Danio rerio: one gene and its partners. The protein of the gene in region 3 interacts with the protein of the main gene of each other region in a biochemical or structural test. Links are inferred from orthologs where the notes say so. Each region holds a gene or a part of one and is shown on either strand. Other genes may lie near its edges. The genes, in order: fchsd2, cntnap2a, caska and caskin1.

Evidence for each region.
Region 1: the proteins of caska (region 3) and fchsd2 form a complex in vitro, tested with the Homo sapiens proteins (2 studies listed by BioGRID and IntAct, with this or other methods). The link is inferred for Danio rerio from reciprocal best matches to the Homo sapiens genes CASK and FCHSD2.
Region 2: the proteins of caska (region 3) and cntnap2a form a complex in vitro, tested with the Homo sapiens proteins (2 studies listed by BioGRID and IntAct, with this or other methods). The link is inferred for Danio rerio from reciprocal best matches to the Homo sapiens genes CASK and CNTNAP2.
Region 4: the proteins of caska (region 3) and caskin1 interact in a biophysical measurement, tested with the Homo sapiens proteins (2 studies listed by IntAct, with this or other methods). The link is inferred for Danio rerio from reciprocal best matches to the Homo sapiens genes CASK and CASKIN1.

Annotation. Positions count from the first base shown.
Region 1 is NC_133193.1:4,556,452-4,560,742, reverse strand, and holds the start of fchsd2 (F-BAR and double SH3 domains protein 2), read left to right. Parts: upstream 1-1,432; 5' UTR 1,433-1,591; coding exon 1,592-1,612; intron 1,613-4,291. UniProt on the Homo sapiens protein: Adapter protein that plays a role in endocytosis via clathrin-coated pits. Contributes to the internalization of cell surface receptors, such as integrin ITGB1 and transferrin receptor.
Region 2 is NC_133199.1:21,601,015-21,604,585, reverse strand, and holds part of cntnap2a (contactin-associated protein-like 2a precursor), read left to right. Parts: intron 1-1,424; coding exon 1,425-1,625; intron 1,626-3,571. UniProt on the Homo sapiens protein: Required for gap junction formation. Required, with CNTNAP1, for radial and longitudinal organization of myelinated axons.
Region 3 is NC_133184.1:35,054,889-35,058,426, reverse strand, and holds the end of caska (peripheral plasma membrane protein CASK), read left to right. Parts: intron 1-1,257; coding exon 1,258-1,434; 3' UTR 1,435-3,009; downstream 3,010-3,538. UniProt on the Homo sapiens protein: Multidomain scaffolding Mg(2+)-independent protein kinase that catalyzes the phosphotransfer from ATP to proteins such as NRXN1, and plays a role in synaptic transmembrane protein anchoring and ion channel trafficking.
Region 4 is NC_133178.1:34,509,790-34,513,360, forward strand, and holds part of caskin1 (caskin-1), read right to left. Parts: intron 2,178-3,571; coding exon 2,073-2,177; intron 1,616-2,072; coding exon 1,500-1,615; intron 1-1,499.

The DNA of each region.
Region 1 (4,291 bases), on a different chromosome or scaffold from region 3:
TTGTCAATCAGTAAAGTTTGTTCCTCACCACTGTCGCAACTGGCTTGCTTGGTTTGGGACTTGTGGAGCTTCAAATTGATGGATTTGCTTTTCAGTGTTAGGGCTCACAGCAGTAAAAATTAAAGCACACTGAGGTGAACTTTAACACTGAAAACTGGACTGACACTGCTTCAATTTACTAGAACTTCTATGTGAAGCTGCTTTGACACAATCTACATTGTAAAAGCGCTATAGAAATAAAGATGAATTGAATTTGAAAAATTAAACCCATTACTGTGCTTTTCTAAGTCATTTGAAACATTAAAACAGACATTTCACCATTATTTAATATACCTTCTGTGTATATTATTGACTTATATGTATATTAAATCCGTTTAAATGACTTATTTCTGCTGTGGTGACCCCTGATTAATGAAGGGACTAAGCCGAAAAGAAAACGAATGAATGAATTTCTTGACTATTAGTTTTTTTTTTCATTCAAATACTTGGTTATTCCAATCCAAATATGGGTGAAATATGAACAAACCCAAAAACTGGCTTAAATTTGGTCTATTAATTTAGCTTAAAAATTAACCCAGAATTGTTTTTGTCAATATTTAAGTCCTAGGTTGAAACAACACAGCCTTTTTAAAAGAGTCTAATAATTTAAGATTCATTCATTCATTTTCTTTTTTGGCTTAGTCCCTTTATTCATTAAGGGTCACTACAGCGGAATGAACCACCAACTTATCCAGCATATGTTTTACAAAGCAGATGCCCTTGCAGCTGCAACCCAGTACTGGGAAGCATCCATACACACTCATTCACACACACTCATACACTACATCCAATTTAGTTTATCAATTCCCCTATAGCGCATGTGTTTGTACTGTGGGGCAAGCAGAGGAAACCCACGCCAACACGGGGAGAACATGCAAACTCCACACAGAAATAACCCAGCTGGGACTCAAACCAGCGACCTTCTTGCTGTGAGGTGACCACCGAGCCACCATGTCACTGTAATTTAATATTTTTAGTATATATTTTAGAGTCTCTAATTAAATTTGCAACTCTTGTCAGAATAAATCCTAATTTAATTTGTTTTCATTATTTGGATGAATAACTTTACTACGGCCAAGGCGTAGATCATGAATATTAATAGCTCTTCCATCAACGTTGGCGCATTCTCGAACTGTCCAATCATCTTATCTTCTTAATATTCAAATAACCATCTGACCGTTACAAGCGCACGCGCTTTAGCCAATCAGGAAAGCACAGTGAGCGAACGTCCCGTTACGTAATTAATATTAATGAGCTAAACCCTCGTCGTAGTAGATATCGTGCAGCGGGGTTACGCTTGTCCGTTCCGCGGCGCTGTTGGACTGGATTTCACGCTTCGAGGCTGTTCTTTGGAGGCATATTCTCTCTTTTATTACTTTCTCCCCTGATCCGCAGTGTTTGTTGAGCGTCTGCCTGACTGGACCTGCTTCATCATGGCCGTCTGAATCCAGAGCCGAACGCCAGTGTGATCCCCGTTTTCTCAGTCATCCACCCCGATCGCGCTGGGAATCATTTCTTTGGGATTTTACTTCATTTGTGCCAATGTTCAAACATGCAGCCTCCGCCAAGAAAGGTAAGAAAATCGTCGTTTTGTAACAATGTGTGTATTTCTTATAAGAATGTACATTGTTATGTCGTTGCAACTTTGTGTCAAAGCCGCGGTTTGTTTTGAAACAATGTGCGGGTTTGTATTTTGCAGCGGAAACAATGCATCAGGACTTTTCTCGAGCAGTTGTGTTTTATTGTTGTTTTCAAAGCTCCGTTTGCGATGCTGAAATCCGCCTGGTTTACACTAGAGTGTGTTTTTAGCCTGATTTGCTCTCAGATAACGGTTAAACCATGCAGCTACGAGAGTCGTCTTGTGTGTTGTGTGTGTGTGTGTGTGTGTTTTCCTCTCAGATTAAACCCAGTCACCATGCTTTTGTCAAATTAACGGATCGATGCTCGTCATTATAACCTTAAAGTCTGACATTGTGTTGCAGATCTCGATTTAATGTGTGCATATGTCAAGTACGTTGATGATAAAATCATATATCCTAGGGAAAGATGTGTTCCTGTCTTTCTCTCAGAGGTGACAGCAGGGGTGTTGGGTTTCAAACTCATGTCCCACAGGCGGCTGTATGGAGGAATGTGAAATTACCACACACACAAAAACACACACACTCATCATATTCTAATCATTCCGCGCACATTTTGGTATTTTAATCCTCAAAGCATTGCATCAGAGTGTGAAATCCTTAAAGGTGACGTCTTACTTTTTTGCAATTGCTTTGTCTAGTGAAGAGCAGGAAGGCTGATAGCATGTAGCACAGGTTTCCCCCTAAATAAACCCTGCTATTTCCCTGCTATATTTGATAATATTACGTAGAGATGCATGCAATACTCGTTTTGACACACTGCTGATGCTTTTATTTCATTGATAAACATACAATATGCTATAGTGTATAGATCAGAGGTTAAATACTAGAGGATGTACAAAGATGTCATGTAGTGTCTCTTTTGCATCATATATCTGATCCCTATTTTAACACAACAGTGTCTGTCTCCAAGCCTTCCCACTATAAATGTCTGGAATTTGTGCTGTTGTGTTTTGCTCTGACGCAAATGCTGCTGCTGTGAGTGTTTCCTCCATCTCGGAGTAATAATAATAATAATGTCTCACCTGTACTCTATTAAAATAGTTGGGTTTAGAATACCCCATATATATATATATATATATATATATATATATATATATATATATATATATATATATATATAGTTATTATATGTTATTATAGCTCCTTCCCTTCCCAATTATGGGTTAATTGTTATTTTTTCCATTCTGGTATTACTATAGGAGTACTACTATTAATTAATTTTATAATTATGGCTGTGTAAATAAATAAATGTCTCCGCTGGGTTCTAAAAGGTAAGGATGACTGCCAAATATCCCAAATATGTGTATCTTTCCACCCAAAAAAATAGTTAGTTATTTATTTAACCCAATAGTTGAGTTAAACACATTTGGTGTTTGTTGGGTTATTTTTTAACCTTTTTTAGATTATTTATTAATAACTCATCTAGTTGAGTTCAATATTTGGTGCTTTGTTGGGTTATTTTTAAACCTTTACTTTGTTATTTATTTAATAACACAGTACAGATGAACACAGGAGGTAGACTCTTTTAATCCATATAATAAATTGACTAGGCGACGCAGGGGCACAGTAGGTAGTGCTGTCGCCTCACAGCAAGAAGGTTGCTGTTTCGAGCCTCGACGTTTCTGTGTGGAGTTTACATGGTCTCCCTGCGTTTGCGTGGGTTTCCTGCGGGTACTCCGGTTTACCCCCACAGTCCAAAGACTTGTGGTACAGGTGAATTGGGGTGGCTAAATAGTGTATGTATGTGTGTGAATGAGTGTGTGTGGATGTTTCCCAGAGATGGGTTGCGGCTGGAAGGGCTGGATAAGAGCTGGATAAGTTGGCGGTCCATTCCGCTGTGGCGACCCCAGATTAATAAAGGGACTGAGGCGGGGAAAAAAATGAACGAATGAATAAATTGACTATGAAACGTGCGTTTGTATATTAATACAGCTGTTCTGTGTCAGTTAAATCAGTTGACTGTTGAAATTAAAATTTTTAAATTAATTTGAATTTTTTGAGTTATTAAATAAATAACCAAATGCAGCTTAAAAATAACCCAACAAATCACCAAATATTTAACCCAACTGGGGTGCGTTTCCCAAAACCATTGTTAGCCAACTAAGGTCACGAATTACATCGTTTCAAACATAGCTTGTTGATTTGGCATTTCCCAAATCCGTGTTCCAACGAACATTCGTAAACTGCGTCACAAACTTGTATGCTTGCAACTACACCTCTGGAGCTGTAGTTAGAGACAGTTCCTGGCTGTGTGCTATTTCTTCTTATCCCCCCTATGACCTATTCATTTAGAACATTCTGACATTTTTCAGTTTTAGCGATCTTCATGTTTACATTTGCGCTCCCTTCGCAGTGCACATTGAGAACATTGATGTCATTTTGAACACAGCCTCATGACGAAAGCTGTAGGTGACCCATTACTTAAAAGTGGAATTTATGTTACGTTTCCAAAGCTTGTGAAAACAAAAAACAAAGCAAACGTTAATGCTTTAACCTTATAGTAGATTATTTATTAAGTATCTGTACTGTATATGACATTATTAGTATTATGATTATTAATAAATAACCTAATAAAGGTTAAAAATAACCCAACAAAGCACCAAATATGTTTA
Region 2 (3,571 bases), on a different chromosome or scaffold from region 3:
TAATAAAGTGACTAAGCCAAAAAGAAAATGAATGAATGAATGAATGAATGAATGAATGAATGCTTTCAAGGACTTCTCTATTCTCTAACATCTGAGTAAGGTTTTTTAAACACACTAAAAACACACTAACACCTCCCTAGACTTTTTTTTCTGCAATATTGCAATCTTGGTTTACGTCATCCCACTGATCCAAAAATAAATAAGTTCAACTTAATGGAACATGTAGGAACGCCAGGACATAAAATGTTATCGTTTGAGGACAGGAACTGCAGTCATCTCAGAGCAGAGGAAATCCCTGAGCGGACACGGTAGAGCAAAAAATCATGCTGAAAAGAATGTGTCTGTCAATTTTAGAAATGTCTACAGCTTTTAGAAAGGGTAAGTCTTGTTTTGAGGTGGGAAGGAAAGATTAAGGTTGCAGGATAATTTAGACTGAAATATAAAAACAAGATGAACATTTATCTTAAGAAAGAAAATTTGTCCGTTTGTTTGAAGTTCAAATTAATAAAACTTAAAAAAGCTTGAGGAATATTTGGAATAAAAATCCATTTGACACTTCATGATCAGTACATTTTTTCTAAGGTGTAACTTTAATAAGAAAATTTTTCCTTGATTACATATGTCAGCTAAAAAGAATTAACTTTTGTTTAAAAAAATATAATTAAAACATTTGGAAACATATTCACTCAAGTGTGCTCTTTGCACTTTTAGTTAGGTGAAAGTGTTTGCCTTTGAAATTTAAGTTAATTAAATATTAAGCATTTAAATATATATTTTTTTTAAATAATTGCTTGCTCTGAACAATTCTTGATTACATTTTGGATCATTTGGTGTCAGTACGATTTAAAAAATACTTATATGTATTTCAGCATGAATGTTTTAAATTATGACAATAATTACATTATATATTTCAAGTAAAAACAGCTTTTTATCTTTCATCAGAGAATCCTGAGGGACAAAAAACAAGGTTTCCATGAAGATATTTAACAACACACCTTTCTTAAAATTTATAATAGCAGAATAAAGATTTTGAGCATCAAATTAGCATAGTGAAGATTTCTGGAGGAAAAATCAGCTTTGCCATCACAGAAATATAATATATAAGGTATTTTAAATTGTATTAATCATTCAAACAATTCTAGATTCAGGTTTCAGATTCTTTCTTCCAGACTTTTTTAATGGTGTTTAGTAAGCACTTTATTGTCTTTATGGACATTTATGATTCATGTAAACTATTGTAGAAATACTTCTTGACAGTGATACAAAAAGGTTTGAGTCATTAATATACTCATCTTTTAAGATCTGTGTTGCATAAAATAATAATTTTTCGTCTTTCTAAATATGAGCAAATGCTAACGTTATATTGTGGTGTCTTTTATTAGTCAGTATCCAATTTAATTATCATTATTTTTTCTGTGTTTCAGAGGACAAGGTTTGGACGACAGTGGTGAATAACCTACCGGCACAGACAGCAGTAACTGGCTCCAGCCGGGAGAGACGGACAGTTTTACAGCTGAACTACAGTGCGTCTATGGAGCAGGTCACAGCAATAACCAACAGCGCTGAGCACTGCGAGCAGCACGTCTCCTACGCCTGCCGAATGTCACGTCTACTCAACACTCCAGGTACTGAGAGACTGTGTGAGAGCGTTTGAATGTTTGCTTCCTTGTAGATTCTTCTTCCCAGGTTTATTTGTAAACGTGCCTCTACCAAAACTTTGGCAAAACTCCTAAATCTTTTTTGCTACAGGACAGTTTGCTGCAGTTTTCAGCTGAAATGAAAACCAGAGGTCTTAAAAAAAGGAACAATCTTTTATATTATCTACAACATAAAATTACAGGACAGATTGTTATAATTATCAATCAATGAACGCTTGTTTCTGCTGAGTTTCATACACAATACAACTGAATGATCTTAAGCCACTTTTACCATTGAAAATTATTTGTAAACTAAAATGTGTGAAGTTAGGTAACATCAGATAGTCCTTTACGCAATGTAATTTCAGGACTTGAAAATGAAGTGACATGAGATATATCCATCTATCTATACACTACCTGATAAAAGTCTTGTCGCACAAGTTTTGTGAACAACAAAAACAACTGCATTCATTCATCTCTGCGATGACTCAAATGACTTGTTAATAAAGTCATCTGGAATGGCAAAGAAAAGCATTCTTGCAGGCCTCCCAGAGTTTATCAAGACTCTTTGGATTCATTTTCAATGTCTCCTTCATCTTATCCCAGAATGCTTAATAATGTTCATGTCTGGTGAATGGGCTGACCAATGCTGGAGCACCTTGACTTTCTTTGCTTTCTGGAACTTGTATGTGGAGGCTGAAGTACGAGTAGAAGTGCTATCCTGCTGAAGATTTTGCCCTCTTCTGTGGTTCTTAATGTAATGGGCAGCACAAATGTCTTGACACCTCAGGCTGTTGATGTTGCCATCCACTCTGCAGATCTCTCGCAGGCCCCCATTCTGAATGTAACCCCAAACCATGCATTTTTCCTTTACCAAACTTGACTGATTTTTCTCAGATTCTTGGGTTCTTGTGGCTTCCAATAGGTCTTCTGCAGTATTTGTGATGATTGGGATGCAGTTCAACATATAGTTCATCTGAAAAATCTACCTTCTCCTCCTTTTTTAAATGATCAACTAGAAGTCAAGTTATTATTTGTTTCTCTTAACTGGGATCGATGACAAGATTTTTGTCAGGTAGTGTATAGATAACGTTGTATCTTTGTATTGAAATTTGTATTTTTCCAATATTTCTCAGGTGCTGTTTAACAGAGACACTGTGAGGTGTTTTTCTAGTTTGCAAAGTTTTAGTCTAAGTCTAAGTTTAAAGCACTATTTAAAGGCCTAAATGAATAGTTCACCCAAAAACTGAATATTCTGTCACCATTTACACATCCTCTACTCATTCAAAGTCTGTTTGATTTTCTCTGTTCTCAAAGATTCAAAAGATTGTGTTCAACAGAAATGAGAAACTCAAAAAATATACTGGAAAAGTGCTAGAAACCTGTAAGCATTGGCTTCCAAAGTATTTTTTTTTTTCTACTTTGGAAATCAATGTTTACAGGTTTTTAACATTTTTCATACGTTTTTGTGTTCCACAAAAAGAAAAAAAAAGTCAAACAGGTTTAAATCCACTTGAGGATGAACAGTAATTAACAAGAACTAAACAATAATTATATTTTTGAGTGAACTATCCCTTACTTAGGTTTTTATTATGTTAACTAGACGATAGGCTGTATGCACAGCTAGTGTTTTTCAGCCAATGCTAAACTTACGATGAAAGCTTAATGTGACTATTTTCATAAGGTTCCTTTTACAGCATCGATGTTGTATTGTAATTACAATACATTCAGTTAAATAGACTTAAGCATTCGTTTAGTGGTTTAAGTTTAAAATGAGATGAAACACCGTTTAAACTTCAGTGCCATCAGGATCAGAAGGTGAGAACAGAAACTTCATTAAAAATACTAGGATATAATAAACTGTCATATCTTAAAGACATGGCACTGGAAAATGGAATTTAATGCAGTGCTTTGTCTCCAGTCTTCCCTTTATA
Region 3 (3,538 bases):
GGTGCGATGAATTGCGAACAAAATGGCGACGGTTGGCCACGCCTACTGGTAGCTCTCTTTGGGTTCTTCATAAACCTGTGGGTGACGTCACGGATACTACGTCCATATCTTTCACTGTCTATGTTCCCACTATATTTGTTAAACGTGATATCTAATTAATCTTGTCTTTATCTAAAGACTCTTCTGTCTTTTAAATCTATTACTTGTGCTTAGCCAAAACACTTTACCTGAGAACAAGTTAATATATCAATTTATGTAACCACGTACTCTGCTTTGGCCTATTTGACTGATTGCTTGCCTATATTTACAACATTTTATAAACTTATTAGATGTTATACTTTTATATTAGCCATTATTGATTATTAAAACTGATATTCAGCAAAGGAGACAGGGTGGGTTTCATATTTTTCAATGAAAATTAACGGATGCAGTTATGTTATAGGCTCTGTTTTGTTATAATTATGCATACAGTGAAGATGACGGTCATATAAATATGTAGCTATAATCAAAATGAAAATAGGCAGCTCCTTATATCATGTTTTTATTTTATTCTTAAACAACGTAACCAGGGTGATGTGAATGAAGTTATAAAGTATATCGTTCCATTTGAAGATTTACCTGATGTGTCCTTGGGAGTTTGTTTTCCATATCAAACTTGTGAAGTCTAAACATAAAAGGAAAGGATGCAAGACTGAACTTTGTGTACATAATATTGAGAAAAAGGCCCAATCAGATAGGCGAATGTCTGCAACAACGACTCCGTTTTCAGATGTCTCCATTTTCCCCCATCCACACTGACACAAAGCAGCAGCGTTTTAAAATCAGAATAGCCTTTTCAGCGTTTCCAAAATGCTAGATTTTCAGGGCTTGAAAACTCCAGGCTAGTGTGGACAGAAGGCGTAACCGTAGCAAAACTTATGCTTTCTAAAATTATGCAAAACCTAAGTCTATTTGACTCTGGTGGTAAGCAACGAGAAATATATTGTGCAACAAAAATAAGTAACTATATTAAAAAAAACATTCACTTCCATATCATAGAACAGGGGAGAGTGTCACAAGCTTTACTTTTTCTTCCAAAAATGTCCTTCACATAAAAATCAGTGTGCAGGATTTCAAAGACATCCTAGTTATTAATACATTCAAACATATAACCCCTTTAAATGGCCACAGGGTCCGATTTTACCCGCTTTCTATCCCGAATGTCCTAAAAGGCCCATTTTTGGCTCTTATACTCACTCTTTTTCTTTTGCGCTGTAGGATGAGTCGCTACAGAGGCTGCAGAAGGAGTCTGAGATCCTCCAGAAGACATATGCACATTACTTTGACCAAACCATCATCAATAATGAAATTGACGAGACCATCCGCCTCCTGGAGGAAGCCATAGACATGGTTTGCAGCACCGCCCAGTGGGTTCCGGTGTCCTGGGTCTACTAAAACAGCAAGCCCATCAACCTGTAACCTTACGCCCTTCATAACCTCACACTAAACAGTGCGTCTCTGCAAGAAAACAAAACAAAACTTGAAAAGTTTCCCATGATGCAAACAGAAGCCCACCTCTGACATTCAGCAACATCGATGTACCTGCAGTGAGCCCAGTCTTGGCCCCTCACAGACTACCTAGACGTAGTGTTGTATTAATGAAAAAAAAGATCAATAAAATAAATTACTAAATATTGTCATGTCTATATAGCTAGGAGGCAACATTTTGTTGACGTTGGATTTAAAGAGACAGTATCCTACTTGACTTCCTTTCCTGTGGTTCTGCTCGTTTTTCTGGTCATAATATTTCTCCGACAGAATCCTCGTAGCTTTCATCTGTCCAGCCCGTCCATTAACTCAGCCATAATACATAATCCCACATTATCCATGCGGCAGACCCCAGCTGCTTTAGCTTTAGCACAACCCACCGATTCAGCTTTCATTTTAAACACACTTTTTTTCTTTCTACTTTTCCCAATCCGCCCTCCTCTACACGTGGATACTGTCTCTCTAAAGACGTGCATAAATGTTTTCGAGATTTGAATGAGATCTCATGCATGTGAACATTCACGAGCGTTCAGTGTTAGCTGTGTCCAGACTGTCACCCACAGCAGAAAACATTCCATTCGGCGGGACGAACACATTCAAACAGGTGGAGCCGGTGACCAGGAGGGAAAAAAAAGACCTATGCACATCCCTTGCATTTTGGCAACTTTGTAAACAGTTTATTTTTACCAATTATGTAGTAAAATGTGTTTGTAAATGGTCTAAATTTTTATTTGTTGTAAGATTTATGGGCTTTGGGTTGAAAATGAATACTGGCATTTCAGAAGTGTGTTGTTTGAGAGTATTACTGTTAAAAACGAAATCAGATTTTTATTCTGTGCAGCAGAATGAGGCCGCGGTCTGTTCATCTCAATGGTTCTGTATATGATAAAACTGTTTCCTCAAACTGCCCTGTGAAAACGGCTCTATTGATGACAGAGCAGCTCTTCGGTATGAGTGTGTCTTTTTCCCTTTTCTTTTCTTTTTTAAATATATATTTCCTTTTATGTGGTGAAGATGTGGTGTCCTCTGCTGTTTTCTCATCCAGCTCTTTTGCTCAGCCTAGCTCTCGGTGTGAGTTGGCAGAGATGGGGCCAATGGAAATTTTTCGTTCCTCTTTGGCCTTTTTGTTTTTCCGGATTTTTTCCCAGCAGCTGTGGCGGGTCACGCCCTGCCAGCTTGATTCTGTGTGACTGCAGTCGAGATCAATGCCCAGTTATGTGTCTGAGAGCGACGCAGAGTGTTTTTTCTTTTTTTCTTGACCATTGATTCTGGACGTCTGAAGTATTTTTAAATACAGTGCTCAGCTTAATTGAGTACAGCCCATTTGGAAAATATATATTTGTATCCATTTCTCACTGAATATAGGCAATGTGTTTTGGTGCGTTTAAACAAAACAGATTGATTAAACGGATCTATTTAATCAAATAGTATTTTAGTCACCAAACATATTTAAATATTAAAAGAAAATACAATTAAATTCAAGCTTAATATTGTAAAATAATTAAAACCAACTAAATTTCAACTAAATTTTTTACTTTCTCTTTTTTGCTTCTCTTTTTTAAATTCTTATTTAATATTTTCCATAACATATAAATTTGTGTGTACTCGTTTTTGGACCATTATCGTATGTTATTTTGTTAGATAAGCTTCAGATTTGGCTTCAGTGCTGACTAATCTCTCTCTCTCTCTCTCTCTATATATATATATATATATATATATACACAAATACAAATATACAAATATTATATATATATATATATATATATATATATATATATATATATATATATATATATACACAAATACAAATATACAAATATTATATATATATATATATATATATATATATATATATATATATATACACACACACACACACACACACAAATATACAAATATAATATATATATATATATATATATATATATATATATATATATATATATATATATATATATATATATAATAGGTATTTTAATTTCTTGCGATTTTAAGCATAAAAACAGTCTCC
Region 4 (3,571 bases), on a different chromosome or scaffold from region 3:
ATTCTGGATTATGAGCTTTGACAAACAGATAAATGCAGTGGTTATATCCTGCTTTTTTCAGCTTTGACTCTTAAATCGAACAGTTAAAACGGTTCTATCTAGAAAAAATGTTTAAAAAAATCCATGCTTTTATAACCACTAGATTGGACTATTGTAACTCACTATGCATTGGGATTAGTCACAACCTTATTCCATTTACAGTTAGTTCAAAATGCTGCTGCAAGGCTTTTTACCTTTGCACTGTTCACTATCAAGTCATTTTTAAAATTCTTTTCTTGGTTTTTAAATCTCTAAATGGCCTGGCACTTTCCTATCTGTCAGACATGTTGATTGAGCATCAGCCTAGTCTCAAACCAGAGATTATTGTGTATACCCAAGTTAAGGCTGAAAAGCAGGGGTGACAGTGCTTTCGCAGTAGCTGGTCCTAGATTCTGGAATGCTTTGTCCCTCTGTGTTAGTTGTATATCACCTCTGTCTGTTTTTAAATCTAGGTTAAAAACTTACCTCTTTGATTTGGCATTTTATCAATGAAAATTGTCTGTTTTTATATATTTTTTTGTTGTAATGTGTATTGTGAAGCACATTGGTCAACCTCTGGTTGTGTTTATTAGTGCTATATAAATAAAATTGACACTGACATTGACATCGCGCACTGAGGCGGTTTGCTGCCGAGTGTGACGTGGCTGGGATGAGTATCAGCACCTCCAAGTCCGAGGCCATGGTGCTCCACTGGAAAAAGGTGGTTTGTCATCTCCAGGTTGGAGGAAAGTCCTTATCCCAGGTGGAGGATTTCAAGTATCTTGGGGTTTTGTTTACGAGTAAGGGTAGGATGGAACATGAGATGGTGCATTAGCAGCAGTAATGCGGTTGATGTACCGGTCCGTTGTGGTAAAGAAGGAGCTGAGCCGAATGGCAAAGCTCTCGATTTAACGGTCAATCTACGTTCCTACTCTCACCTATGGTCATGAGCTTTGGGTCATGACCGAAAGGACAAGATCTCGGATACAAGCGGCCGAAATGAGTTTCCTTTACAGGGTGGCAGGGCGTACCCTTATGGATAGAGTGAGGAGCTCTGTCACCCAGGAGGAGCTTAGAGTAGAGTAGAGTTGCTGCTCCTCCACATCGAGAGAAGTCAGCTGAGGTGGCTTGGGCATCTGTTTTGGATGCCTCCTGGACACCTATCTAGGGAGGTGTTCCAGGCATGTTCCACAAGAAGGAGGCCTTGTGGAAGACCCAGAAAAGCTGGAGGAAGTGACTGGGGAGAAGGAAGTCTGGGGTTTTCTGCTAAGACTGCTGCCCCCATGACCCAGCCTCGGAAAAGTTAAAACTTAGTTAAAAACGAATAAATGAATGATTTGACAAACTATTTTATATGAACTAGAATAAAATGTGCTGGAGCCATCTCGGGCTGGCTGGGGCTTGGAGATGACTGGCAAATACAACTAAACTTGTATTAGATACTTGAATACTACAAAAATATTTCATATCAGATTGCTCACCTTGACTCCCTCTGCTTGAGCATGGAGGATACTGGTGCTGCCTGCGCTCTGTCCACTGCCAGAGGATCGGGCACTGGCCACACTGCCTGAACTGCCCACACTACTGCGGTCTCCACCTGGAACAACAAACCCCCAACAAACACACACACAGTCAGCCCCTTTGGACATCTCTGCCCCGAACCCTTTAAACACACCACTATGAACTTCCCCTCTGCAATGCACTGATCTGATACGCGGGATGACAGAAACGTACATGACAATGATGACCACAGACAAGGTGACCAATGAACACGAGACATGTTAGCTTACTCACTACTACAAACACACACAGGTCTACACTGGCTTTATTGAAAATGCCGTCTACACACATCTGTTGATTGTCTGGATGTGTGTTCTTGAAGGAACGACTCCATGGATGTTACTTTAACAGAGCGGATGAGAGTCTCTCAATGCGCGCCTACACGCCTGCAGCTGAGGAGGTCTGAGGTCAGGCGACAGCAGCTGCACCAAGAGCGTGGCAAAGCAGGGAGAGTTATGAGAGGGAAGTGGAGGAAGGGGCAGCCCTGCTGTTACCTGCCACAGGCTTGCGCAGCACCCAGATCTCCTCGCTACTTCCACCCTGGGGTCCACCAGCTGGGGTGGGTGAGCCATGTGGACTGGACTCTGAGCCACGAGAACCTTTAACACAGAAACCATCATTAACTGTGCCCTGGCTTCGCCGCCTGCCCGGGATCATAGGTGTTCTGGAGAGGTCAAGCAAGAGGAAAGCTAAACTATGTCTATGCGCTCTAACCACTTTCTCTTTCAAACACCCACACAAGGCAAGCACGCATATATATACTGTATATCTAACACAAATATATATGAACATTGATATATACAGAGGTACATGAAATATTTAAGCAGAAACATGTACTTTATATACATATATATATGCCTTGATTTACACATACACATAGGTAAAACATATATAATATATACAGGAATATATGATTATATATGTAAATATATATATATATATAACAACAAAAGGAGTTGCAGTGCATTACAGGAGCATAGTTCATTGGGGTCTCCAAAACATCACAAGTGTACACACAAGTGTACGTTAATTTGTTTATATACAAATAAACACAACGCCATTTTTATGGCAGTGGTCTCCAATCACTGAAAAGAGACCTACTGTTTTACAGATTATATCGTTAAAGAGACAGTTCACTCAAAATTCTTTTCATTTTTCATCATTTATTCACCCCCAAGTTATTTTTTTACTGTTTACACTGGTCCATACAATTTAAAGCTGTTGACCCCTGACTTTCTTTGACTTTATTTAGCTATTATATTAATTTGCTTAGCAAGTGCTTTAATTTAAAGTCACTAACTAAATGAGGACAAAAAAAAAAACCAAGTAAAGGTTCAGTGTAAATTTTTCACAAATAAATAAAATAGAATTGCTGGCGTTGAAGGGTCAAAAAAGCATCTTTATCCATTTTTTGGATCATCAAAATCTTCTTGTATGTTCCACAGTGAAAAAGTCATATAGGTTTGAAGCCATTTAAGGGTGACTAAACAATGACAACATTTTCCATTTTGGCTGAACTCTCTTTTTAGAGATTCTTGATTGATTATCAGGCCCAAGTGCAGGTTTGTTTTGCCATTTTAAGAAAAAACATGACTTAAACATTGTGTAGAACTGACTTATTCATAGTTTAAAGGGCACCTATTTTACCCCTTTTACAAGATGTAAGATGGCAGCCTTTGGTGTCTCAGCTCAAGTTTCAGTTCAAAATACCTATCAGATTATTTATCATAGTCTCCAAAATCCACCCATTTTGGTGTCTGAATACATTGGAGCTGTTTTTTGTAGCTTTCCCAGTGATGGGTTGCAGCTGGAAGGGCATCCACTGCGTAAAACATATGCTGGATAAGTTGGCGGTTCATTCCACCAAAATCCAAACAAGCTGCTTCTCCCCGCCCACTGTTTTCATACGTGTGTCTGCTTCACATCATGCCTTACGTCAGATAAACAGAAGTCTGTGACAGACTCAGATGAAGGTGAAATACAGCTCATTAGT